Cricetulus griseus: one gene and its partners. The protein of the gene in region 5 purifies or fractionates together with the protein of the main gene of each other region. This does not show direct contact. Links are inferred from orthologs where the notes say so. Each region holds a gene or a part of one and is shown on either strand. Other genes may lie near its edges. The genes, in order: Actl6a, Meaf6, Epc2, Vps72, Mrgbp, Epc1 and Mbtd1.

What was found.
Region 1: the proteins of Mrgbp (region 5) and Actl6a purify together in Homo sapiens (co-immunoprecipitation; 4 studies listed by BioGRID and IntAct, with this or other methods). This does not show direct contact. The link is inferred for Cricetulus griseus from reciprocal best matches to the Homo sapiens genes MRGBP and ACTL6A.
Region 2: the proteins of Mrgbp (region 5) and Meaf6 purify together in Homo sapiens (co-immunoprecipitation; 4 studies listed by BioGRID and IntAct, counting the BioPlex papers as one, with this or other methods). This does not show direct contact. The link is inferred for Cricetulus griseus from reciprocal best matches to the Homo sapiens genes MRGBP and MEAF6.
Region 3: the proteins of Mrgbp (region 5) and Epc2 purify together in Homo sapiens (co-immunoprecipitation; 4 studies listed by BioGRID and IntAct, counting the BioPlex papers as one, with this or other methods). This does not show direct contact. The link is inferred for Cricetulus griseus from reciprocal best matches to the Homo sapiens genes MRGBP and EPC2.
Region 4: the proteins of Mrgbp (region 5) and Vps72 purify together in Homo sapiens (co-immunoprecipitation; 5 studies listed by BioGRID and IntAct, counting the BioPlex papers as one, with this or other methods). This does not show direct contact. The link is inferred for Cricetulus griseus from reciprocal best matches to the Homo sapiens genes MRGBP and VPS72.
Region 6: the proteins of Mrgbp (region 5) and Epc1 purify together in Homo sapiens (affinity purification with mass spectrometry; 6 studies listed by BioGRID and IntAct, counting the BioPlex papers as one, with this or other methods). This does not show direct contact. The link is inferred for Cricetulus griseus from reciprocal best matches to the Homo sapiens genes MRGBP and EPC1.
Region 7: the proteins of Mrgbp (region 5) and Mbtd1 purify together in Homo sapiens (affinity purification with mass spectrometry; 4 studies listed by BioGRID and IntAct, counting the BioPlex papers as one, with this or other methods). This does not show direct contact. The link is inferred for Cricetulus griseus from reciprocal best matches to the Homo sapiens genes MRGBP and MBTD1.

Annotation. Positions count from the first base shown.
Region 1 is NW_023276806.1:116,638,970-116,642,469, forward strand, and holds part of Actl6a (actin-like protein 6A), read right to left. Parts: intron 3,424-3,500; coding exon 3,326-3,423; intron 1,126-3,325; coding exon 1,031-1,125; intron 781-1,030; coding exon 674-780; intron 577-673; coding exon 487-576; intron 1-486.
Region 2 is NC_048595.1:27,952,502-27,956,001, reverse strand, and holds part of Meaf6 (chromatin modification-related protein MEAF6), read left to right. Parts: intron 1-974; coding exon 975-1,167; intron 1,168-1,577; exon of another isoform or gene 1,578-1,714; intron 1,715-2,034; exon of another isoform or gene 2,035-2,162; intron 2,163-3,500.
Region 3 is NC_048599.1:124,755,247-124,757,822, forward strand, and holds part of Epc2 (enhancer of polycomb homolog 2), read right to left. Parts: intron 1,827-2,576; coding exon 1,667-1,826; intron 847-1,666; coding exon 513-846; intron 1-512. UniProt on the Homo sapiens protein: May play a role in transcription or DNA repair.
Region 4 is NW_023276806.1:61,386,911-61,391,037, forward strand, and holds the start of Vps72 (vacuolar protein sorting-associated protein 72 homolog), read right to left. Parts: upstream 2,801-4,127; 5' UTR 2,729-2,800; coding exon 2,612-2,728; intron 1-2,611. UniProt on the Homo sapiens protein: Deposition-and-exchange histone chaperone specific for H2AZ1, specifically chaperones H2AZ1 and deposits it into nucleosomes.
Region 5 is NC_048599.1:1,357,064-1,361,151, forward strand, and holds the start of Mrgbp (MRG/MORF4L-binding protein), read right to left. Parts: upstream 2,801-4,088; 5' UTR 2,722-2,800; coding exon 2,574-2,721; intron 2,125-2,573; coding exon 2,003-2,124; intron 1,078-2,002; coding exon 996-1,077; intron 687-995; coding exon 612-686; intron 255-611; coding exon 67-254; 3' UTR 1-66.
Region 6 is NC_048596.1:208,059,696-208,063,876, reverse strand, and holds the start of Epc1 (enhancer of polycomb homolog 1), read right to left. Parts: upstream 2,801-4,181; 5' UTR 2,539-2,800; coding exon 2,386-2,538; intron 1-2,385. UniProt on the Homo sapiens protein: Component of the NuA4 histone acetyltransferase (HAT) complex, a multiprotein complex involved in transcriptional activation of select genes principally by acetylation of nucleosomal histones H4 and H2A.
Region 7 is NC_048600.1:106,796,784-106,801,074, forward strand, and holds the start of Mbtd1 (MBT domain-containing protein 1), read left to right. Parts: upstream 1-1,491; 5' UTR 1,492-1,730; exon of another isoform or gene 1,731-1,734; intron 1,735-1,783; exon of another isoform or gene 1,784-2,025; intron 2,026-2,680; exon of another isoform or gene 2,681-2,741; intron 2,742-4,291. Other genes in the region: Utp18 (U3 small nucleolar RNA-associated protein 18 homolog), read right to left, coding at 940-1,323. UniProt on the Homo sapiens protein: Chromatin reader component of the NuA4 histone acetyltransferase complex, a multiprotein complex involved in transcriptional activation of select genes principally by acetylation of nucleosomal histones H4 and H2A.

The DNA of each region.
Region 1 (3,500 bases), on a different chromosome or scaffold from region 5:
CCCACATAGGTCTACATATTCAGACACAGATTTTCAGTAAAAAGTCTCATTGACTCATTGTTGAAGCAATGAGACATACTCCTGAATGTCTAATTAATGCTAGAGAAGAAATCATACCTAAGTTATACTAAGTTTGACATGAACTAAAAGCATCTTCTTTTTTGTTTTTAGAATTTCTCTGTGTATCCCTGACTGTCCTGGAATTCACTCTGTAGACCAGGCTGGCCTCAAACTCATGCTCAGTTAAAAGCATCTTAAAAATGCTATAGTGTGCTATAATAGCACACTATTATAAAATAGTGTGCTAAAACTATTTCTACCCTAAAACCAAAACCTCTTCCATGTATTCAAGCTGCTATATTTGTCTGTAGGGACTGCTTTGATAATATGGCAAGTGCTCCCCACCCCTAAGGTATTCATTTTGTCAAATGTTAAAAACATGTAACTTAGAACCAACACTCTATAAAGACAATAGGGGTTACTCACATTGCACATGTAATTGTGCCAAGACCTTGTAACCTGGGGCAATTTCTCTTTTCTTTTCCAGTTGGCTGGAGAGCCTTCCCGAACAGCCTCCTGAGAACACCAAGAGCACATGCTTTCTAAGAGGCTTCCCCACACAGGAGCAGAAGCACAAGGCAGGGCTCACTAAGAAACTTCTCATGCTGCTTACTTTTGATGCAATCATATATGGAGGAATGAGCTCTATATTCATTTCCTGGAAGAGTTCTCTGCACTGCATGGTAATGAAGTCTCCAGCAAGAGGGGATTTCACAATGCCTGAGAATCAAATCAAACAAAGCTGAAGATGCCAAAAGTCTGAATTCCTTGGGACTGTGAATGTGTTGGCATATGTGTAGGTTTCTTTGAGTAGAATTATCCAAACTATCCTCTCAAAGCATAAAGCCATGCATTCACTTAAAACATATTCACTTGGGAATGAATGGCTCCAATAGAATTCCTGATCTATCTTTATTATCTGTGTCCTCATGACAGGGAAAGTAATCTTGTGCCCTCATTAAGTAGTTACCTTGTTGAAGGACATAGCCATCGTGGACTGGAATTGCAGTGGTGTGGGTGGCTCCACTGTCCAAAATCAGTCCAGTAGAACGACCATTAGCAAATCTAGTTTAAAGCATTAAGGAAAAATAAGCATCGAGGCTCCAAGGATAGTGCTGATTATGACAGGCTGGCTCTTGTAATGTTCAAGCCAGTTCTTTAAACATACTTTATCACCTGCATTGTATAAAAGCTTGTCTAGTACATGGGGAAGGGCCTAGGCCTGGCCCAGGATGATGTGGTAGACTTTGGGGAGCCCCTTTTGGGGGCGTTACCCTGCCTGGGGAGTGGAGGGGGGATAGCTAGGGGCAGTGGGATGTTGGTGGGGAGGGGAGAAAGAAGGGGGAGGGATCAACATGTGAAGCAGGCTTGTTCCTAATTTGAACTAATAAAAGAATTAAAAAAAAAAAAAAAAAGCTGTCTAGGGAGAAAAATGGGTGTCAGTAATTAATCTATCTTGAAAATGAACTTCCACAAGGAGGACTCCCAGAGCAGTTTCTATGCAGAACCCTTTTTTAATTAAGCGGGTCAAAACGAGCATATTGAAAACTTCTACAATTGATCAAAAGGCTTATAACAAATTGAGAAAATTTTTTTAAACAAAATTTACAAACTTGACAAGAACAGCAAGAGGCTGTGAGAACCTTGGGTAGAGAGCTTGGAGAAGCACTGCAGTGATATGGCAGCTAGCTGGTGGTTCCAGCCTCTACCCCAGTAAGCCCAACAAGCAATTCCAGGTGGACTCAACAGCTGAAAAAGGCAGGTTCATTTCCCCCAACTACACACGACAACCCATATGCAAGTTTATGAGTTGGGCCTTTCACTGGTTCCTCAACTTCTATTACGTCCTCCCGAGTCTGGTGACTAGTAACATTTCAGAGGAGGTAAACGACAGAGATGGGTGGGGGTGGAGGATACAACAAGGCTGCCACTAACGTTCCTTAAAGACAAAGGATTCATAAAACTAACCCAAGCCATCTCTGCCCTAAAGGGTATCTTGTTTAGTAAAACAGAGGTCAGTTTATCTGCAGAAAGAAAAGCTTGGCATGTCCTGGAAAAATGAAGAACAGACCACCCAGCCTATTCCTGGGACTTCAGCAATAATGGGGGAGGGGGTGTAATGTGGATGGAGAAAGAGCAAGAAGGAGATACAAGAGTCAAGAGAACATGGTGGGCACAAAACAAGTTCAGCACAGCCTCAAAGTAGAGAAAAGGAGCCCAGAAAACCATCCTAACAGCACAAAATGATTTTAGAAAGACTCCAGAAGCACATACTACCCACAGAAATTGCAGACAATCTGCTGGATACACATCAGACACAGGATTACTATCTGAATACATACCTAACTCAAAACACTAGACCAAAAACAAGCAGGCTAATCAATAATAGCCTAATGGCATGAATACAAAGCTCTTAAAAGATGAATTACCAATGGCAAATAACCAAGAGAAAATGCTCAACACCCTTAAATCTACCATAAAAATACAAATTAAAACCACAATGAAATTTCATCTCACCTGAATCAGAATGGCTATCAGCAAAAGAACAGACAGCAGAAGTCGATGAGGATGTTGGGAAGGAGAACTCACTGCCAGTTTGTAAATTAGTCCAGCCACTATGAAAATTAGTAAAGAGGGTCCTCAAAAAATTACAAAGTTACTTAGTATCCACTTAGACCTACTAGGTCTATGCCAAAAGAACTAAGTCAACACAGCACAAGATACCTGCATACTCACACTCATGATAGCACTACTTACAACAGCCAAGTCATAAAGTCAGCCTAGGTGTCCATCAACATGAAGAGAACTTGGTCTACACACACATGGGAGATTTGATTACCCGGGAGGAATGAAATAATGCTGTTTGCACAAAAACTGAAGAAAAAAATTACATGAGACAAGGCAAACAGATACTACATGTACAACGGTATTTGCAAATCCAAGTATTCTTCACAGATACATTAAAAACACATGCATTTGTGTGCATGCATATGCACCCACCCTGGATGGCAGAGTGGAAAAAGAAAGTAGGGAGACTATTAGAGCATGCAGGGGAATCTAAGGAGTCGGGTGAATATGGTCCAGGTACATGATATATTTGAAGGAGATTGTGATTATGAAACCCAGCACTGTGTACATATACCAACAACAGGGAAAAAAACTTAAAAATACTCAAAGATAGGTAAAAAGCTAGAAAAAAAGGAAAACACATCCTCACTAATATCTTACAATCACAGAGAAAAGCGGTCACATTGTTTAAGGATACGCCGTCAAAACTGCAGTTTTGCAAAGGAAGAATGCAGGGATGCTGTAGTGTTCGAACATCAACTCTGTCAGTTTCTCTCTCTTTGCCCTGGTGTTCCACTGCAGAAGGGAGGAAGGACCCCAGTTATTCAATGTGTAGTAATTAAAGCACTGGCTAGTTCATGCTATATTACAGA
Region 2 (3,500 bases), on a different chromosome or scaffold from region 5:
AGAATACCAGGCTACACAACCATAACATATATGCAGAGGGCCTAGGTCAGACCCATGCAGCCTCCCATTGTTGGCCCAGTCTCTGGGAGCTTCTGGAAGCCCTAGTTAGTTGATTCTGTGGGTTTCCTTGTGGTGTCTGTCCTTGAACCCTCTGGCTCCTACAATCCTTCATCCCCCTTTTCCACAGGATTCCCCAAGTGGGTACCTTTTCTCTACTAACTATCTATTGATTTATTTATTTTTAAGTTTTATTTTATGTGCATTGGTGTGAAGATGTCAGGTTCCCTGGAATTGGAGATACAGACAGTTATGAGCTGTCATGTGGATACTGGGAATTGAACCCAGGTCCTCTGGAAGAGCTGTCAGTGCTCTTAACCGCAGAGCCATCTCTCCAGCCCTGTTATTTATTTATTATTTTTAATTATATTCATATGTCTGTATGAGGTATGTTCATGTGAGTGCTGTGGGCACCCAAGGAGAGGTGCCGGCTATCCTAGAGCTGAAGTTTTAGGCGGTGAGCCTCAAAGTGAATTCTGGGAATTAGTCTCAGGTCTTCTGAAGAGCAATACATGCTTTTAACCTTGGAATAATTTCTCTAGCTCTCCCCACACCCCATAACGCTTTGCAGAGAAACAGGATTCTCTGCTGGTTTGTCAGTTTTGCCAGGGTCATCAACCCTTATCCTCTGGATGTAAGTCTTCCTCTCTTGTGTGTACTCTTTGTTACATAGCCCTTATGTAGTAGGGTGGTGCTTATGTTGCCATCTGGTTTGTCTTCAGCACTGTCGTCCGGTTACACTGTTGCAGATTGCATGGTTTCCAGGAACTCCCTAGCTTTGATACTTTGAATGTCCATCCCCTGTCAGCTTGTATCTTCTCTGTCACATGGCCTGTGGGCTCACAAGCAGACATTTGCTGCTTACAAGAATTTGGGGAATACTGATCAGGCTTTGGAACCTATTTTCTTTCCTCTAGGGGAACCAGGAAGTGGGACAGAAAGCGATACTTCTCCTGACTTCCACAATCAGGAGAACGAGCCTGCCCAGGAGGACCCCGAGGACCTGGACGGTTCCGTTCAGGGAGTGAAGCCCCAGAAGGCTGCCTCCTCTACCTCCTCAGGGAGTCACCACAGCAGCCACAAAAAAAGGAAGAATAAAAACCGACACAGGTTAGTGGCAAGGTCCCACCCAGTCCCAGAGTTCTCATGACTACTGGGAGGGACTTGGTTGGAATGAAAGTGCCTGGGACAGTGGCAGAGCCCTCATGCTTCGGGTGGCAGAAATCTTCTGGTGCTAGTCCAGTGGGCTGGTGTTCTCTGAGGGAGGAGTGGGTGGCAATAGAGAGGCCCCGCAGGATCAATGGGAGCCACCACGATGGACTGTGACTCCTGAGCATTGGGTCCTTGCTAAGAGGAAAGTGGAACTAGAAAGACTCTGGTTATTGGGAAGCTGTGACCTGGGATGGAGGTTCTTTGAGTCCTGGGCCCCGTCTGCTCCTATGAGAGCTGAGTTGCCATGCCTTCCTTGACTTTTTAAATATGGGTTTGGTTTTGATTGTTATGACTTTTCTATTTTGTAGTTCTCTGAGTATGCTGCCTTCAGATACGGGGAAACACTTAAAGCTCCTAAATGCGAGCATTCCTTCGTAGGAACCACCTGAGCACTGCTACTTTTGCAGTGGGAAATGAGATGGGGATGACACCAGTGCACAGAGAGGTCAGGTGTCTCAGGGGGTTTAGTGGTCACTCTGCCTGGGTTTGTATGCTGATGCTGGGCCTTAGCTCAGAGGGTGATGAGTCTGCAGGGCAAGGGGCTCTCCCTCATCCTGGTCTTGGAAGCCTGAACACTTTGGGGGTGAAAGGGGTGTGCAGGGCTAAGGAATTGCATTGCATTAGAAAACTTCGGGGTGTCCCTTCCTGCACCTAAGGTGTTCCACTGTGAACTTCATAGACGTGGCACTGTGGCTAATATAGAATTAAATTTAACTGGTTTCAACCTCTTTAGTTTTTAAGTTTTTCTTGTTTTTTAAATTGCAGAAATAGTGTTTCCTCCAAATAAATAGTGCTGAAGGACCACCGCTTTACTGTTTTCTGCAAACCAAAAACCACTGTGCTAATCTCAAAGTATAGTAAGAAACAGCAAAGAATTGTCCCCTACCATCTTGGTAAGGATGTAGGTTGTTGGAGCATTGCGGTAGGCTTGGGGCTACCTTATCACAAACAATAGAGACCCATACTCTTTTTAAAGAGTATTTTGTGGGCTGGGAAGATGGCTCAGTTTGTAAAGTGCTTGCTCTGCAGGCTTGAGGACCTGAGTTCTAATCCCAGCACCCACATCAAAGCACTCAGTGCATTGTATGTGTCTGTAAACCCAGCATTGGGGACATTGATATCCTGGGGGCTTGCTGGCCAGCCAGTCTAATAGAAGTGATGGGACCCTTTCTCAAAGACTACATGGAGAAACACCCAGCATTGACCTCTGACCTCCATATGCACACACATATATACTACATACACACAAATTGGCAAGATAATTCAATATTTTCTTCTGTGTTGTTTTTATTACATTTAGTTTCTTGTCATTTTGGGGATTCTTTTCCTATTTCAGAGTGTCTAGAGCAGGGAGACCATTCTTGAAAGTCCCTGGGACTCTGCACCACTGACCAGTGTCCTCTCTAGATCCTGCTGGTTTCGTGTAACACCTCATTTGCACTAGCGATGTGGGCAGCTCTTGACTGGTGAAAGGCGCTAGAGAAGTGTTCCCTTTAACTGTCCTTGCAGGGTTCTAGAACATCTCCATGGAAATAACAGTTCTTTCTTATCCCTCCCTTTTCCTGGCCCCAGGAATGAATCCCTTCCAGAAACACACTAGCGCTTAGAAAGACAGTTCTTGGGGACTGATCTCCTAAGGGGCAAGTCTGGCTTAGAAGGTGGACTGGGTTTTTAGCTCCAGAATTCCTGCCTCAGTGGTGGCCTCCCAGGGCCTGGTGTGCTCATCGGCCCCCAGAAAGGCTTGTGGCACACGTTGCTTTGTTTCTTAGGAAGCTGACCCCAGCTTCCTAAGTGGTGTCTCAGTGGGCTAAGGCTGTTGCAGTCCTCTTTGCTACCTTTGTACACTCAAGGGCAGGGGTGGAGCACATTATTCATACACGCTGGTGAGCTGGCACCCAGAGCAGCGCTTCCTTCTCCACTGTGCGGTGGCCCCTGTAAGTCAGGCCACGGTGACAAGATGTCCAAGGACTTGCCACATGCCCCCATTTGAGGAGAAGCAGGAAGTAGTCGAACTTACCATTTACCCCCCCCCCCCAGGAGGGGGGATGGAACACAAAGCTTCAACTGTGCTAGTCAAATGAAAATCGCCAGTTTTCTAAATTCTTATATTTTACATATCTGAACAACAGTTAAGTCCCACTGTCTTTAAAGAGAAAAAAGTAAATACTAGCTGCTCTTAGAGGTTTTTACTATTACATCATACCCAAGATTTGTTTTTGTAAATCATTGCT
Region 3 (2,576 bases), about 120 Mb from region 5:
TATGAACTGATAGCTCCAACCTAGACTATCAGTCTATAAAATATGATGTGATAGGGGTAGAGAGACAGCTCAGCAGTTAAGAGCACTTGTTGCTCCTGCAGAGGACCCAGGTTTGATTCTTAGCACACAGGCAATGTCCTGCATCCTTCTGTAACTCAGTCCCCGGGAACCTGCCTTCCACTGGTATCCACAGGTACCAGGCATGCACACAGTGCATACACATGCATGCAGGCCAAACACTTATACACATAAAATAACATAAATCTTTAAAAAATTTAAAGATAAAATAAAAAAAAATGAGTGACTGAAGCTTCTAAAGTATCAATTTGACATTCTCATCTTTCTACAGTTGGCATTTAAGGACGCTAACTGGTGTCGGTGGGCACAGAGCTTTCTTTGTGTTAAGCAAATCCTCAAGCTTTTTGAAAAATCAAGTCTGTCAACAGATACTGCTTGAGCAGTGAAAAGCCAAAGGCCCTTCTCCTCCAAGAAGCTGGTGCAAAGCCACACACCTGGCCATGCTGCTGATGGCACTGCTGGGAGTAACCTTTGGCACTCTGTCCATACTGGCAGCAACTGTGGCAAGTTTTAAGGCTGTTGGCGATGGTGCTGAAGTCCGTGTATTGATATGCACATTGACAGGAGAAACAACACTGACGTTATTGAGGTGCACTGCATTGGTCAGGCAGGAATTGTTCATGGGAAGCGTCTGAGGACTGCTTGTGCACAATGCTGGGATCAAGTGGTTTGTAGTAGTGTGGCCAACTGTCCTTACAAGCTGTACAGCTGAAATCCCTGCGCTGGATGATAAAGCCATATTGGTGGAATATATTGTTTTAGATGGTCCTGCAGAAGAGGGGAGAAATCATTCAATTAGTGTCATGGGACAATAAAAAAAACCCCCTAAGAATTAGGAATTTAGTTAATGAAAGTAAGTGTACTCATATTCTAGTTCAATAAATTCTCAGTTAACTTTCCATATCACAGTCATACAAAGAGGCTTCACCAAGCATTTTGCTATCTCTCTCTGAGTCAACTTTGGAGATAAACACAATAGGACAGATGAGAATGATGGCTGGGTTGCCCTAAACAGTTATAGGCATACAAAGATCAGCAATGCGGGCTGAAGAAAGAAAAGAAGGAGGATGCTCCTGAGTACATCTAATGAAACTAGAGGGTTCTCAGCTGGGAGCTGGGAGGAGACAGAGAAGCACTGTCCCTGGAGCACAGGCAGTAGGCAGCAGGCAGGCTTTCACAGCCATAATGTATCCCTAAAGGAGAAGTCAGGGGAAGTATATCTAAGAATATGTGCACATTGGTATGTAAACCCAACCTCAAGCCTTATAACTGACTGTGCTGTTTTGTATTTCACTTTTTAATCAATTCATAGATGAATCAATGGGGGTGATTGATAATGAGCTCAATGGATATTTCCTAACATGTGAAGCAACTGATAGTCTAAGATGTAATCAGGATGGATGGATGGAGGCAGGCATACAGAAGACAGTGTTGAGAATTCTGGAAACACTCAGTTCCTCATCCAGATCCGTCCAGGCATTCTGAAGAGCACTTGTATACATTTCCTCTGTGCATATAACAAAACCAAACCCAACTGAGTAAGTGGCAACTTCAAACTACTAAGTATTATGTGAAACCCCAGTTGTACCTGAAGGCTGGACAACACCATTCATGTTGTTGTGGCCAGTGTTCTGTTCCTTGGATACCTCACTGCGACTAGGAACAGGAGCACTGACAACTGCAGATGCAGCAAAGTGTGCACTGGCCGAGTCAAGTGTTTTAGACATACAGTCAGAGGTGCTTGAGCCCTATAAAATGGATAGAAGCACAGTTCAGTTTTCCACATTTGTCTGTCTGTCTGTCTATGTATCTATCTACTAATCCCCCCTGCCCCCACCTCCCACCCCTGCCAGTGACAGGGGAAACAGGAATATGGAGTATGTGTGGAGGTCAGAGGACAACTGTCAGGAGTTGGTTCTGTTCTTCCACCAAGGCAGTTCCAGGGATCCAATTCAGGTTGTCAGACTTGGCAGCAAGTGCCTTTACTAGCTAGGAAATCTTGCCAGCACCCTACATCCTCAGTTTTGTTAGATGGGATTAATGAGCACATTAAGGAATGTTCGGAACGCAAGGACATTGCCTTTCTAATCATGAATAGTCGAAAGTACTTAGCTGTGAGGTTTTTTATTTTATTTTGTTTTTATTTTTTGGTTTATGAAGCATGAAAATCACTAGAAACTAGCAAGCAATTATTTCTGAGAAAAACAACTAAATTGAAAAATCCAAGTTCTATTAACTTTTCTAGGTAATAATGAACACTTTAAAACTGCTTAATGAGCAGACACCATAAATAAAATAAAATCACAGACATGATTAATAGCCACTTCTATCAAAATGTAAAAACCTGGACCAATCCAACTTTGAAGAAGACTGCAAAAACTTCAGGTTAGTTATCTGAAGAGACTCACAAAAAACAAAGCAAACCAAACTCAGTGGCTACTCTTTCATGATTCTGTGTAAAACTGCCTGCTACTAACAATGATAGCCATAGGCTCTAA
Region 4 (4,127 bases), on a different chromosome or scaffold from region 5:
CCAGAGTTCAATCCAGCACAAGTGACCACCGTTCTTCCTAACTAATGTTTGTGAAAGAGACTCAGAACACATTAACTCAGCTCTACCCTGGTATTAAGCCACATTACCAGAGAGTGGTAGATCAAGTTCCCACTAGTGTGCCCAATCTTAATGTTTTTACTACACTCCGGATTTACTGTCGTAGCACTGGACAAGATCTTTTCCACTCCTTAATACACAACAAGAGGACATTCTACATCTACCAAACCTGTTACTACTTTAGTTGTACTTCATGTAAGGAAATAATGAGACATTCTTCCTAGAAGTTAATGTTAAATAGGTTTGTCTTTCTTGAATATATCATATATTTCAGTCTTAGAAAAGAACGGATTCAGTCTGGCTACCAGGAAGCTCAGAATTATCAAATATTTCCATTTTAGCTAGATTCTTGGCACAAATATTTCTGATTTTTTAAAAATATTTTTATTTAGTCTTTGAAATTTCATACATTAATATATTTTGTTCTGCTCATTTTCTATTTTTATTGTTCCTAATTTTTGTTTCTATTGTAACCTTTCTTAAATCCTTTTTGGAAGCATGAGGTGCACCTATTAAAATAACATCTCATAAAATGACAGGAATAGGAAAATGAACCTTGGAGGAAGAATGAGAGAGATCTATTTTAAACTAGTTTACTAAAGCTGTGTACACAGAGGCTCCTAGTTAGTCATAAAGTCTTGTCTACTTTTTTTTTTTCTTTCAAAAAACTCCCTTCAACTCTCAACACTATCCTATGAGTGACATCCCCAGCCCAGCCCTTGTCCATGTTTCTTTTCTGCCACTGCCCTCTTTAGGCTTATCTCATAGTTATATATATGGCAGAGTCAGGACAGAACTGGAAACACAGCCCATGTGGCTTAGAACTGGTGGTAATACTCCTGTCCCAGCCTCCCGGAAACCACCAGCTAGAGAGTAATCTTTTTAATCACAAATATAACGATGGAACTTTGATGCCTCATCTCAGACCTCTAAATGAGCAGTCAAACTGCTTAATGCTGCTTCATTATGTCCTTCAAAATCTGATTTCGGAGGTGGAGGGGGAATCCAAGGGTAGTGACAAGTACCTGCAATTCCAGGAATCAAGAGTGTGAGGCAGGGGGCTGCCTAGACTTTGAGGCTGGCTAAGTAACCCCATTTTAAAAAAACTACATAAGGCCAGGGGTAGTGGGGCACACCTTTAATCCCAGCACTCGAGAGGTAGAGGCAGGTGGATCTCTGAGTTCCAGGGCTACATGGGAGTGGTACTCCTGGGAGAGGGCACCTAAGAAGGACATGAGAGGCAGAGGCAGGTGGATCTCTGTGAAGCCAGACTGGTCTACATAGTGAGTTCCAAGACAGCTAGGGCTACTACAAAGAGAAACCCTGTCTCTAAAAAACAAAACAAAACCTTCCAAAACAAATCCAGCTCAGGTCTACAACCTCTAGCTATCACAATCTTTACTCTTCCAGAGAACAAAAGACTTGTAGGTGTCACAGTGGGGCTTCGGCGCCTCTACAAACAGACTATTTCATCTTCTTCTCCAACTGAGCCTTTCTCTTCCCTGACTCTTCATCCAACCAACGCCTACTTTTTATATAATATCCTCAGTTTAAATGTTATTTCCCCATGAGTGCCTACCTTTAAACCACTCTGGGGCCTTCAAGATAGCTCAGTGGGTAAAGTAGCTGGCTGTACAATCCTGACCATCCGAGTTTGATTCCTGGGGCTCCTATGATGGATGGAGACTGAATCCCTGCAAGCTGCCCTCTGATCTTCATATGCAAGCACACAAATATAATACAATTAAAAAAAAAAAACAAAACACAAACCTCTCCCGGTTACCACAGTATCTCATGCTTCCTTGACTTTAAGTCTTTATCATGAAGTATCTTAGTTGATTGTGAAACCAGTCAGTTCCTTGCAGGATGGGGCTTCCCTTTTCATTTTTTTGCCAGGGGCTGGTATCCCAGGATCTAGGGCTTACTAGGCAAGTGGTCTACCACTGCGCCACAAACAATAGTCCCAACCTCAGGGCAGTTTTTAATATGTTTCCAAGGAGCTCAGCACAACCCATCATATATGGTACACTGACCTGGGTGCTCCACATATATTTAATCAATGAACAGTTTTTATTAATAAAAAAATTTAGCCAAGAGGCAGCCCTGAACGAAAAAACAAACAAAAAACTGAACTCTAAGCTTACAGACCTTACAAAGCAACCAGAGAATGAAAAGAAGCCAAATTTAATTAGAAACTGAAATTCTGTTTGTATGATAGAAATATAAATGGGGATTCTCTTAGAACGGCCAATAGAGGGTCGGTCATCTAAGAAAACCGTATTATTTGAGAGCTGAAAACGGAGTGTGCTAATGAAGTTTCTGTTTCTGAAGCGGTTCCTCTTCGTAGATAGCCCGACAACAGGACAAGAAAAGGCAGACACACAGACGAAGCCAGGCACTCACAGTGTCACCCAGTCCGGAGCATTGGCTCTCAGAACACCTCTCTCTACTCCCCGCCCCCTTCCTCTTTGTCCAGGGTTTTCCCTTCAAGATTCCGCTTCCTCCCCTCCCTCTTCCTGGGCCCGGCTCTTGCCTCCGTGAAACCCCCGTAAGTCGTCTGGTAGAACTCATCTTCCTCCTCTGCTTCCAGGAGCCCAGAAAGGCGGTTCCCAGCGGTCTTCCGAGGGGCCCGGCCTCCAGCCAAACTCATACCGCCTACAGAGACTGTGCGGCCGCCCGCAACCCCTTGCCCAGTTCGCGTTCTCGGAAATCGGAGCTCGACACTATTTCCTGTGGGCGGCAGCCAATGGCGGAAGCCCGGCGACTACAGGCAAAAGCAACCGAGCATCGAACGCTTCTAAATCTAGCCTCTAAGCCTTCTTCACCAGGCTGTCCTGGCCACTCTTAGGCAGAGCCTAGAAACAGTACCAGGATGTCCCCTCCACACCACCCACCTTTTGTTTGTTTGTTTGTTTTCAGACAGGGTCTCGCTGCATAATTTCTCGCAGGCATGGAACTGTCTGTGTAGTACAGGCCGGTCTCGAACTCATAGAGATCCTCCTGCCTCTGCCTCCTGAGTACTAGATTTAAAACTGTGTGCTAGGCCGGGCGTTGGTGGCGCATGCCTTTAATCCCAGCACTGGGGAGGCAGAGGCAGGAGGATCTCTGTGAGTTCCAGGCCAGCCTGGTCTCCAGAGCGAGTGCCAGGACAGGCTCCAAAGCTACACAGAGAAAGGCTGTGTACTAGGCCCGCAGCAAGCCCTTTTTTCCTCACCACCTCTATTTTAATTCTGTTAGTAGGAGCCTTTCTAAAAATACTGGCCTTTTCATTTCCCTCCTCTAAAATTCCAATGACAGTCAGTCCTAACTCTCACACATTATAGGGCAAGAGAATCACAAATTCAAATCATGCCTAGTTAGTGTAGTAGAATTGTTTCAAAGTTTAAAAAATGAAAAGAAGCCTGGATATAACACAGCGGAGGTATGTTTGTTTAGTTTGCATGCTCCTGGATTCTATCCCTAGCATGCTCAAAAACATTATTTCAATTAAGAAAAAAAAAAAAAAACATGAAGCTGACTGGTGGTGGCGCATGCCTTTAATCCCTTCATTAGGGAGGCAGAGGTAGGTAGGTAGATCTCTGAGTTTGAGGCCAGTCAGGGCTCCAGAAGGAGTTCCAGGACAGTCAGGGTTACACAGAGAAGCCCTTATCTCAAAGAAAACAAGCAAACAGAGAACAGTGCCTTAAAAGCAGGGGTGGGGGCAGACATCCGTAACCCCTAGCACTAGGAGTCCAAGTCAGGACGATGACAATTTGTGGGCAGCCTGGGTTACCATGGGAAGTTCTGGGCCAGCCTCAGTCACATAGAAAGCTTTTGTCTAAAGAAAGAAAACAACATCAACAACCCACAAGCAACTAAGTACCTGGCCTGGTGTTTCATACCTTTTTAATCCTAACACTCAAGAGGCAGAGGCCAGGGCTCTCTGTGAGTTAGAGATCTATGCTTGTTCTACATAGCAAGTTCTAGGCCAGGTAGGGTTACAAAATGTGACCCTGCCTCAAAACAACAATAACAAAATCAAACAGCAGCAACCATAACAAAAGCCCAGT
Region 5 (4,088 bases):
ACCTGAGAACAGGCAGTGAGGGCTTGCAGCATTAGCGCATCTCTGTGGCACCTGGGGCTGAGGTGTCTATGTTCGGCGCCTCTTGGCAGCACTGGGGCTGGAGGGATTGCTGTTGGCAGTCAGGACCTTGTCAGTGACCCGGCTGCGCTTCCGCTTGTCTGCCCCGTCTTTGCACCCCAAGTCTGAGGAGTTCTTCTCCTTGTCTTTGCTGGATTTTTCTAATGCTTTCCCCAAGCTCCCTGAAGATGAAAAAACTGAGAAACAAAATCATTTGGCTGAAGACAAAATATACACAAACTCATTTTTTTTTCCTGTTCAGCTAGATAATGAGATATACATCAGGCTCTCTGCACCTAATGTTACCCTGGGTGGGAGTCCTGTGAAGCTTGGGCTATAAGAGACGCCTCATCTCCCTAGGGGTCTCCTGTCTGAGCACACTTGATGCTCCCAGGTTTGGCCTTGGTCTCAGTGAAGGGACAGCTGAATGCTTGGCCCCTTCCAGGCCTTCAGGGGCCCTCCTGCCTGAGGTGAGCTCATCTCTAAGTGGACCCTCCACCCCTCTGACTCCACGGCTTCCTGGTCCCATTCCGCCTGAGGCGTGCCACGCTTACCGTCATCAGCCCCACTGTGGGGGTCCACATCCTCCTTCATCTCCTCCTTCATCTCCTCTTCAATGACCACTTTTCCTGTGGAGGAGACAGCTGCCGTTCACTGGAAACCCACGGTGGTGGCCAGCGTTGGGGGATGGTCTGGCCATGACTGCTTCCGATTCTCGCTGCCCACACAGGCCTCGGCGTCCATCACGAGATGGCATCCATCAGGAGACTGCCTTTGAGCACCGCTCTCCCCAGCCCTTGGTTCCCAAAACCTCCCGGGTGCCACTGGATGTGGGGTCTGAGCAGGATCCTTACACCTCCCTGGAGGCCCCAGACCTCCCCACCTTTGGCCTGGTCCGGCTTTTTTAATCCCCAGCCCCGATGGTGGCCGAGTCTCACCTTCTCGGACCTCTTGAATGATCTCATCTGGAAGGACAAAGTTCCTCTCTGGATTTGGGAATGGGAGAATCTCAGACTCGTGCTGCCGGCACAAAGCAGTTTTGGTTTTTTTTTTGTATTTTTGAGAAACAGAAAATGGTATCAGCTCACTAAGATGCACAGGAGGAGCAGGCTGGAGGCTGAGCTGGTAGGGTTCCTGGCTCTAGCTTGCAGAGTCTACTGCAGCTGGGCTTTTCAAATGAGGGAGGGCCAGGCTAGCACCAGCCCAACAAAGCCAGAGAAAAGGACCAGGCGCGTGCCACCCAGAGGAAACTGGCAACATGTCAGCCCCGCTGATGTGCATACCAGGAACTGACCTGGCTCACCACTGCAGTATTCCCACCAGGACAATGTTCCCCAGGTGCACCATGACCACAGGCACCTACAGCTCCACCTATCCTGGTACTGAAGTTACACTGCCTGTCAGACACTATAGACAAATCTGCCCAGCTTGGTTACTAGTTACCCTGCATACCTGTCACACATTGCCAGCTCTCCAAACCAGTTACACAGTCACCCATCAGACAGCGCTACCTCTAAGCTCTACAAAGAGGACTACATCTGGCTCCCACAGGGGTATCCAGTGCACCTCAATGGGACTCAGATGGGGTCAGCCTCCACCTAGAGCGCTCGGGACCTCTTACTACTTTACACTGAGGCTGATGCTATTCTCTGGCATCTCAGCAGCCAACTATCTATCTCCCTGGAAGACTTCTTGTGGCCACCCCAGATCTAAAGCAAAAGTGGTCAGAGACCATCACTAGTTAGTGCTTTCCACAGCAGGACTTGGGCTTTCCTGAGGAAGGGCCTCATCTACTGAGATCACTTCTTCTCTGCTCTGCATAGTGAACCCCACGTGACCGGTGGGCTCTGTCTTGTACTACCACAGATGATCCTAGGAAGACAGGATGTGGGTGGGACCCGTCTCCACCTTCAGCCCCAAAGCGGTGAGCCACGGTCCAACTCACCAGTGCCTGCATGTCATACATAGTGCTCAGATGGTCCCAGATGACCTTGGATGGGACCTGGCGCCCAATATTCTGGCTGAACTTGTCTCGAATACAAATCATGTGGAAATGTCGATTCACCCCTGAGAGGCAGGACAGTGGGTTAGGGGTTAGGGCTGCATCTCTGTGCAGACAGCATGGACGTTGGAGGGGCAGGGGTATGAAATGGCAGGTGGGGGTGTTGCAGGAGTCAGGTGTCAAAGAGGATAGAGGTGTCAGGAGGCAAGTGGGTGTCCCAGGGGCAAGTAAGTATACAGTAGGCGGGTCCGGGGCAAGGGGGGCTGCAGAGGCGGGGACTGTGGAGGCGGTCCCTGGGGTAGGAGTGTCTCAAGGGCAGGGAAGTCAGGGGCGTCCCCCGGGAGAGGGCTTCTCGGGCAGGAACGTCATGGGGTCTTGGACTAACTGGGCACTCCGAAGTGGGAGGTCCCGTCTCGGGTGAGGTCGCAGGCTCCGCCCGCCCGCGCTCGCCCGCCCGCCCGCCCGTTTACCCGCCCCACCCCCATGCGGGTGCGCGGCTCGCCGCGACGCTCACCGACAGGCTTGTGGCCCAGCATGGCGTGGAAGAGGCACACCTCCACCTCAGGGCTCCACACTACCGTTTCCTCAGCAGGGCTCGGGGCTGCCTCGCCGGGGCCCTTGTCGCCTGGGGCGCCCGTGCCGCCCACCTCGGCCTCCCCCATGGCCGCGGGCGAGCCACAAGCGTCCGGCGAGAGAAGGGTTGCTACAGGCTCCGCGCAGGCGCACTCGGTGTGGAGGGCGCGCGCTAGCTGGGCTCCGGATCGCCGCGTATCCGCGTCCGCGCAGGCGCAACAAAGGCTGGCTTCCGGTGCCGGCACGCCCCCTGGTGGTCAGCCCTTTCCCTGCCTCCGGCTCTGGCCAGAGAGGGAGCTGGCAGAAACCTTAGCTTTAAAAGAACACCGCACTCCTTTAATCCTAGCGTTCTGGAGGCAGAGGCAGGAGAATCTCTGAGAGTTCCAAGTCAGTCAGTCTACATGGCATGATACACACGCCCCTAAGTTAAATATGTTAAAAAGATTCAGGCTCTCCCCCTGCCAGTAATAAATCATACAGTGTGTAAATTACATCTCAGTAAAGTTGTTTGTTTGTGTTTTAAAGCCAGGGGCTAGTGAGATGGCTCATCCAATAGAGACGCTTGTGCACAAGCCTGATAACTGCAGCCTCACCCCTGGATCCTGCAGGGGGCAGGAGAGAACCAAGTCGACCCTCTATATCCATACCATTGTGTATGTGTGTGTGTACACACACACACACACACCATAAATAAGTAAAAATAAAAGCCTGACAACCACAATTTGTAGAATTGAGGCTCTTATCATCTCAGAATGGCCCTGGCCTGGTTGCTCATGACAGTCCCAGAGTTCGGTGCTTCCTTGGCATCTGGGTCCTGCTGGCCTTGCCATCTACTTCTACCTCCGTACTGTCCCCACAGTTGAGCTCCACCAGAAGTGGGTTGGTGATGAATTCAGACAGGTGTTAGTTTCTGGTCTGGCCACTGAAGAGGCCTAACTTAACATCAGTGCAGCCATGACAGGCTGCAGGCTAACAATACTGGCACTAGGCCTCATTCTTAAAATAACCAGGAAAAACCACAGACTGTACCCTGCAGGGGACCAATCAAAATTGAGACAAACAAATACTAGATGCTTCAGAACACTAAGAATAGCTTACCTAACTTGTATATAGGTTGACAATTTCCTTGCAGCAATGCCTGCACCAATCCCTGTTTGACAGGATTTCTGTTGCCTCACTCCTGCCCAATCTGGAGTTTAGCCCCGATCTGAAGCCAGAATTCCCTTACACCCCATCCTTTACTCCTTAAAAAACCCGCCATAGCTAAGCTCAATGTTCTTCCTGATCCAACCACCCTGTTGGAACGGATGGAGAGCCCAACCTGGAGCTTGCAATAAAGGCTCTTTGCTTTTGCATAGGAGCTCAGACTCCTGGTAGTCTCTTGGGGACTAATGACTCTGGTATAACAGCCACAACGCCACACTGGATTGGGTGGGGCCAAGTGCTGGGCAGAGCA
Region 6 (4,181 bases), on a different chromosome or scaffold from region 5:
ATTAATCCATGAAGTTGGATTATGATAACTAGATTCTATGTCTTAACAGTCTCAAGACTGACACTAAATTAAGAGTATATGCCCTTTTCTAAACTGGACAGTCAATTCAGGTCCCAGGTTACAGGACCTGGCAGGAAGCATAGGCCACATGCCATGAACTTTGCTTTAACTCTTCTTTTTCCAAGTACAAAAGATTACCTCCGAATTACATCATGCTTGGTACTTTTCAATACTACACAACATACTACCTTCAATACCATGACTCACATAGCCTGTCACTAGCAGCTGGACACACACAGTTTGTTTACGAAGGATTTTAAGTTCTATCAAACAATCTAGGCTTCACTTATATACAGTTTTGATTGGCTGTGACTTGAAAAATTCTAAACAGATGATGGAAAAAGGTACCCTCAAGGGGGAAAAAGGAAATCCCCATATCTAACAAAAGTTGGACCTTCACCTGCTAAAACCCAGTGACAGTCATTGCACAATACCAAGACTGTTTCAGTGACCGAAATTATCTGTAAATGTTAATATGCATGGACAGACCCTTAAGTTGAACTCAGCTCTTGTTTTAGATTGTAGTTCTTGGGACTGTCCAAAAGACTCAGATAAGCAAGACCTAACTCCATTTCTAAAGTGCACTGTTGTGGGTCTTGCTCTTGCTTAATGATTTCCACCTTAGATTCACAAGAGCTACAAGTTAATCCCTCAAGCAGGGTATCACCAGCACCCCAACTTGAAAGCAATATCTGTAAAACTTACATAGAGAAACAAAAATAAAACAAAAAGACAAGATTCTGCAGTCACAAGTACTTTAATTTTTTAAAAAAACAAATCACTTATTTTAAAAATAAACAAATGGCACCATTCTACTCTAAGTTGATACAGGTCAAAATAAAGAGCACTGCGCTCGCAAATAAGCTGCTGAGAAGTCAGCACACTACCCACACATCTCATCTACTACATACACTTAGCACTCAGCTGTGAAGGTAGATTCAAGACCCTCCGCCCCAAAGTAACATTCGACTGTCAAAACTATTTTACTTTAAAAGGTTAAACAACCCAAGCAGTTTGAAGAGTTTTATTTTGAAAAACATTACAGAGAATAGAAAATTCTTACAGTACCACAGAAGTATTACAGTACAATTTTCCACAACAAAATTGGAGCACACAAGTCCATGGGAATCCTTGACTTCCTTGAACTGTCAACACAAAGCACCCTGTTTAAGTGGCTGTACCTGGAAACCAACGTATGCAATTCCTCAGAATTAGAATTTAAAATGTTAACGATTTAGGGGAAATGAGAGGAAGATTCTCTTATCTCTGTGTCGGACCCAACTTCCACAGCAAGGTAAAGGCCACGGCTAAAGTAAATCATTAGCTGTATAAACAATTTAACTACTGCAGCCCACCCAGTTAGGACATCTTAATGTTAGGATGTCTGTGAAGAATTCACTCAACTTTAGCTCGGCTATTAATAAAAAAAAGGACCTTCTTTCAAAATTTATAGTTTTAAGAGTTATTGAACCGAGTCTTCTCCATCGTTACTCTGAAAGCAGGCAAACCCAAATTTAACTTACAAGTAACTAAAAAGTTGCAGGCTGCAGAGGACAGATACAATATTGTAAACAAATCTGCAACATTGTCTCAAAGATCAAAAAGTTGGGGGAGACAGTGGGTTCTTTTATTTATTTTAAATCCGCCGGGTTAACAAGCACAGCCGGTGCAAGCAAGCATATACCGGGAGTTTTATCTTCTCTAAAAGTAAAGGCGTCTGGGCAGACAAGGGGCACCCTCGGCATTTTCCTGCAGGAATCGGGAGAGAAATCAGCCTGAGCCCTGAAGTCAACATGACAGGCCCCTCGGAGGCTCCACGTGGGGGACTGCACCGAGCCGCGGGGAAGCGCGCCCGAAGCCTGCGCCGGCAGCCGCTGCCAGGCCGCGGCGGGCCCGGAGCGCCACCCAGCGGCCCTACGAGGGACCTGCAGGCGCGGCCCACTCCCGGCTCGCTGCACCCCCACCGCCGCCCAGCCCGCTTCCCTCTCCGGATGCACAAGGCCCAACCCAAGAACTGAGACCACAAAATGGCTGCCGGCGGCTTCGTCACGTGACCCCTTTGTGCCTTTCGGGCCCCCGAACTCCGCGGGACCCGGGTACCAGTGGCCGGGGGCGGCGGAAGGCCTTCGAGGGGGCCCCGCTAGGCCTCAGCGGCCCGGGACCGAGCACCGGGGAGGCGGGGGACCGGCCCGGCCGGCGACCGAGAGTCGGCGGCGGAGAGAAGATGGCGGCCATTTTGTGTGGGTCTGCTGCTCCGCCGCCGCCGCCGCGGGCAGCGGAGGGCGCGGGCCTGGCGGCGGGTCGGACAGGGGAGTTAACACGTACCGACTCCTCTTCCTTCTCCATTCCGGTGGGCATCTGCGGCACGGCCCGGTTTATCGAGGCGTATTCGTGCAGGTCGGGCAGATCCTCACAGCGGAAGACCGGCAGCGGCTTCGAGGCGTCCAGCGCCCGCGCCCGAAACGACAGTTTACTCATCTCAGGCGCAGCAGATACCTCTCCGCTCTGGGGAAACGGCCCCGGCCAGCGGGATCATGGAGAACCGGGGTTTCGGTCTCCACTCGCCTGCCGCTGCCGGGGACTTGGGGGCGGAGCGCAAAGCCCGCCGTCCGGGCCCTGACACCAGCCGGGAGGGTGGGAGGCTGTGCCGCTCCGCGCCTCGCTCACTCGCTCTCTTCAATACGCCATGGCCAACATGGCGGACATTAAAACTCCACTGTGCGCTCTTCAGCCAACCCCAGCCATTCCCCACACTGCATCGCGCAGCGGCGCGGGCACGCGCGGGGGGAGCGCGGGCTCGAGCGGGCGCCGGCGCGGCGCGGCACGGAGCGCGCGTCCCGCCAACCCCCGGCCCGCCGGCCGCGGCCGCCGGCCTCGTCTCGTCTCGTCTCGCCTCACCCGCTCCGCCCGGCGGCCTCGCGTCCGCCCGGCGCGGTCCTCGGACGGGCGAAGGTGCGACGAGCTCTCGGCGCCCGCGCGCGGGGCCCTGGAAAGGCCGCCGCCAAGAGCGGCCGGGATGCTCGGGCCTGCGTCCCGGGCGCGGGCACCTGTCACCGCGGGGCTGGCCGCGCAGGGCGAGCGCAACGCAGCGCAGCGCAGCGCAGCGCAGTGCGGGAGGTGCAGGACTTAGAAATAAACCTGCACGCGAAATCACAGGCCAACTCTTTAAGTCAAACAAAACTGAGTTACAATTCTGAACAGGTTCTGTCATCAAATCGCCGGTCAAGTTCCCACCCGGGGCTCGCTATAAATACCACTTATATATATATTCAGCTCCAAAGCAGTTTTTATCCAATCCTACCCCTTTTAGTTTAATTGACGCTCGCAGGATAATTGCGGCAAATTGTAACAATCTTTGGTGAAACACAGTTTCCAAATTCCAGAGCCCGTGTCGCTAGCTAGCTGGTGCATTTCGGCAGTATTAGAAGTAAACGTTACTTCAATGCAGCCGTAAGTAGGTTCACACTCTTGCCATCTGTTCTCTGGGAAACTTTATAAAATCGAATCAAAGACCTGTATTGGTTCGGCGGCCACACCAGAAAAGGGACATTAAAAGTTAATTTATTAAAAAAATAGATGTTGATAAGACTTTGAATATTTGGTTTGTATTATACATGAAAATTAGTACCCAGGTATCTCTTTTCAGTGAGATATTTTATAAACTGGGAGGGCTGTTAGGGTGGATTTTGAAAGATTGGCGGCAAAATTTCAAATGTTCATCACGGTTTTAAAAACCTGTTTTAAGTCTGCTTTTCTCCCTGAGGGCTACATAGTAAAAATAATCACTATTCTTAAATACAGGGTTTGATATGAACTGTTAATTAGTTTAGCGTACACTGGCAAACTATCTCTCAGGTTTGTTTCTATGCAACATTAATTACGACCTTCGTCCTAAAAGAGCATGCTTTGCTAGAGCAGACAAGCAGAATACCGACTGCAGTTCTTCCAGATTACCCTAAAACTCCAATACTGACAGATCATCTCTGGGAGGAAGTGAGACTTTTTACTTGCCTTTCCTCCAGCATCTAGGTTCGCTAACTGCCTCTCCCGAAGAGTTTAGGATGGAAACCAATGCTTACTGGAACTGGCAGAAGTGGTCTGCAACCTAGGTTGAGGCTCTA
Region 7 (4,291 bases), on a different chromosome or scaffold from region 5:
CACCAAAGGATTCCTTTCTGTCACACAGCTCGGAAAGTAACTGTTCTCCACCTCCCAAAGGAGACTGCTACATCCTCTCACTGAAGCACCCACACAAAAGGTCAGCTTAATTTAGCAAATGCTGGCATTCTTACTGAGGCGTTTCAACAGCCCTAGCTAAATTTAATTCCCTTTCCCAAATGTTTTCATTTTCCTCTCCACCATCGTACTCCTTTACCTTGTTTTTCTACCGCTACTAACACAAGCTCCATGAGATCAGGGGTTTTATTGGCTTTCTCCATTGCTGTGTCTCCCTCCGGTACCTAGAACAATACCTGGGACGCTCTACCTTAGACGGGGGACCCGGTACAGAACGAAAATAACGACAGCGCAAAACTGTATCAATCACGAAGGATTTATAACTGCTACGAAGAACTAGCATCCAAAAAAAAAAAAAAAAACCGTTATAGTCGAATACACCGATCATTCTCAAAAAAGTTGGGCGTGTGTCTCACACGGAGAAATTATTAAAACGCAGCTCTACGCCTTCCGCCCACGCCATTGGCTCCATCCACGAAATGGACTCGCGACAGGTGAGCACACCGCTACCCCGGGGGGTGGGGGGGAGGTTCCAGCAGAGGGTTATCAGAACCCGAAGATGCCCAACTCTCCAGTTAGCAGGCAAACCTTCTGGCAATCAAGGCAGCAGCTGAGCGCCTGCTGGATGCCAAGGGCCGCGGCCCCTTTAGGGCGGAGAAAGACCGCGTCTCCGCCCTCGCCCGCTCGCGGCCCAGCGCCGGAGGCGGAGAGCGCAGCGGTGCCCCCTCGGCGCCCGCGGTCGGACGGTCCCTCCCACCTGAGCGCTCGCCGCCGCAGGTCCCCAGGCTCCGCCCCCGGGCCTCGCCTCCCGCCGCGCACCGGCGGCAGCGTGTGCCCGCTCCGCGAGCAGGCCTCCCTCACCCGCGAGCTCCGCAGCCGCCGCAGCAGCGCGTCCTCGTCGTCCTCGACGTCGCCGAAGACCAGCTGCTCCAGACAGCGCTCGGCGGCCGGCTTGTCGTCCTCGATCGTCAGGCGGTTGCGCTGCCGAAGCCGGCTCTCCTCCTCCGCCGCCGCCGCCGCTGCCGCCGCCGCCGTGACCGCGCTAGGGGCCGTCCTCTGCCCGGCCTGCGGTGTCCGTTGGGATGAACGAGCGGCCTTTCGGGGCGTGCCGCCGCTCCCGGGCCTGGCTTCCCTCCCCGGCATCGCGCCGGCTCTCCGGTCTGGTTTCGTCCGGCTCCTGCGTTCCGGCGGCATCCTCAGGTCTGAGGAGAAACGCAGACGTTCACGTGGAGCACCACTGCGCATGTGCCGGGGCGTCTCGCTCCCCGCCGCGGCCCAGCCCCGGGGAGCCGGAAGGAGCCTGCGCCGCCTCGCGCCACGTGACCGGCACTCACGCGCTACGTCACTCGCACTCCGTCCGACAGCCCCTCCCCGTGTGGGAGTTCCTCAGGGAAGGCCAATCTTCCGGGTGTAGGGGGAAGCGGCGTGACTGGGGTGGAAAATTTTCCCAGCACAACTTCTCAGAGGCAGCAATATTGGAAGGGACTCAAGAGGGCCGGAGTAGAAATGAAAGTGGCTGAAAGAAACTTCTCTTCCTGCTGACTCCGGGCCCCACGCCTTGCCGCGAGCCCTCATTACCTCATCGCCTTCTGGTTTTGGTACGGTCCTTGAGTACGGAGCCTGCCGAGGGTCCCACGCTGGAGGGGAGAGAGGTGGGTACGTGGGGAAGTGGGCCAATCGGGGCGCGGGTCACGGCGCAGGCGCGCTGGGGAGGGAGGGCTATGCTAATGTTGTTGATATCCTGGGGCCACCCGAGTTAAAGGGGGGAAATCCGGGGGCTGCCACTGCCGCCACTGGCTCGGGCCCAGCCGGGGGTCCCCCCCTGTAGTCGCCGCAGTCCCGGGGAGAGGTGCCCGCCCCCTGCTCGGGGGGGAGGGGGCGCCGCGGGCTCGGGGAGCACGGACGGCCCCTACCCATGAGGCCCTGATGGAAAACACAAAGGATCTGGTGAGAGCCGAGCGCAGCAGCCGCTTTGTGTGCCAGGTTTGGGGGGGGGACGCCTGCAGCTGCCCGGCCCCAGGAACCCCGCAGCTCCGGGACCCCGCTCGCGGGCCTGTTTCTTCATCCCACGCCCCCTCCATCTCCAGAGCTCCCCTCCCCCTGCTGGCCGTTAAACGTTCAAGGGGTTCCCCTCCCCCCTCAACTTGTGACTTGGGGTTCTCTCTACTCTCTGGGAGGAAAAAAAAAATTGAGAAGAATTGAGAAGAAAGTTTTTCTCTGCCCTCCCCCCCACCCACCTGTTCTGGCTGAAGAGAAAGGCTAGATCGGAGGAGAGTTTCCTTTTTTTTTTTTTTTTTTTAAGCTGCCAACGGTGGGAGAGTGGTGTCCTCCCTTCTCTGGGGTGTGGGGGCAGGCGCAATCAGAGTTTGAAGGCTTTGCAGGGGAAGGTGCCCACTAGTGTGGGGCCAGTGCCGTGAGGCATTTTGCACGTGGAGGTGCTGATATTGAAAGGGGGCGGGGTGGGCACGTGTGGGAGGGAGACGTAGGAGTGGTGTCGGGGAGTCGGCGGCCGAGGCTGCTGCTTCAGAAGAGTTCCAAGGCGGTGGTGGGCTTCCATCATCCTTTCGTTCTCCTTTGTGAACTAGTAATCCTAACATTTCAGAGTCGGAAGAGACACTAGAAGTCACCCCAAGCAGCCGCCCCTGTCCAGCTTCTGACAAGTGGTAGGTAGTCTGACCTCTACTTAAACCTGCATACATAATGACACGCACTGCCGCCCGCCGAGGAAAGCACCTTCCATTATTTTCAGTCTTTCTGATAACGATACTCGTTTGTCTGCCCTTATTAGACCCTTCAGCCTCATTCATGTCCTGGTTAAGTTGCTCCCTTTTTTACTTCTCAAATTTGTTCTCACATCCTCCTCACCCACCCACTGCTCATTGGCCTATATTTTCCTGCCAGGAAAGAAGAGCAAGGAAGTGGAGGAAGGGGGGTGGGGAGAGTTAAGAGATAGTGAAGGCCAACTGAAAACTTTGCCTGCCGGGTCGGTTGCAAGTGTGCTGCTTACATGACTAAAGGTAGTTGATAGTATTCTCGGGAAGCTAGAGAATGTCTACGTGGGGATTTCATGGTTGTCTCGCTGGTATTCTTGAGATTAGGAATTTTAACTCCATTTCCTTAGTACTGCCAGTTACATTTGCCTGTGCCTGAATCACTTTTCCTAAGAATGTCTAAAATTGGGCCTAGAAAGGAATAGTGTTGAAGCTGATGAAGGCAATTACCGGTAAAACAATCAAAACTGTTCCTTCCTATCGATTTGACTTGTGGTCTTTGCAAACCCAGCCCCCTACAAAAAGGGAAGGCTGTGCAGCACAAAGGGTTGTTTTGTTTTGTTTTAACATTAGTGTATTATGGGATAGCGCATGCTACATTGGGGGGGGGGTCAGAGGACAGGTTGAAGTCATCATCTCAACTCCCATGTGGGACCCAGGTATCAAACCCAGGTCATCAAGGTTGTCGGCAAGACTTTTACCTACTGAGCAACCTTCCCCCCCCCAACAATTCTTATATGAAACTTAAAGTGTTTATAACACTTTAATGTTTACTTTTGAGTTTTCAGTATTTTTAATCATCTCTACATTAATATGCAGCAGAATTTGTCACCTAGTAGTTCACTTGAAAATACATATTGGCACCCACTGATGTGCTTAACTCCCAGTATCTCCTGATACTGTTAAAGCAAACTTTTTCCTGTTCCCCAGCCTATGATAGAGCAGTTGCTTTGCTCTTGTGTGTTTCAGACTGTTTACCTCAACACCAAAGAGTGTTTAGAAAGAAAATAGCTGTTTTTGCACCACCTCCTCTGAATAACAAGTAGCTTCTATTTATATAGAACCCCATATTCAAGGATTGCAAATGCCTTGCAGATTAGGGCAAAAGCTGTCTTGAATAAGTGTCTGTTCATAATATCTTCTCCTGAGCCAAGGTTTTTAACCATTTTGTAACTTTGAGCTTGAATTTCCCTCAGGGCTAGTCACTAGTGGATCCTAGCTGTGAAAATTTACAGAGCTCTTTACTCATGTTTTCAAAGTTTGAGTCAGTATGGGCTTTCAAGTTTTTTTCCTGCTAACTTTAACATGAACTGTCATGACATAATTGGACTGACTTTGGAAGCGTTTGCATTCTAAACATACTAGACAGGAACAACTGGTTTTGGGTTTGGTTTTTTTTGTTGTTGTTTTTTTTTTTTTTTTTTTTTTTTTTGGTTGGTTGG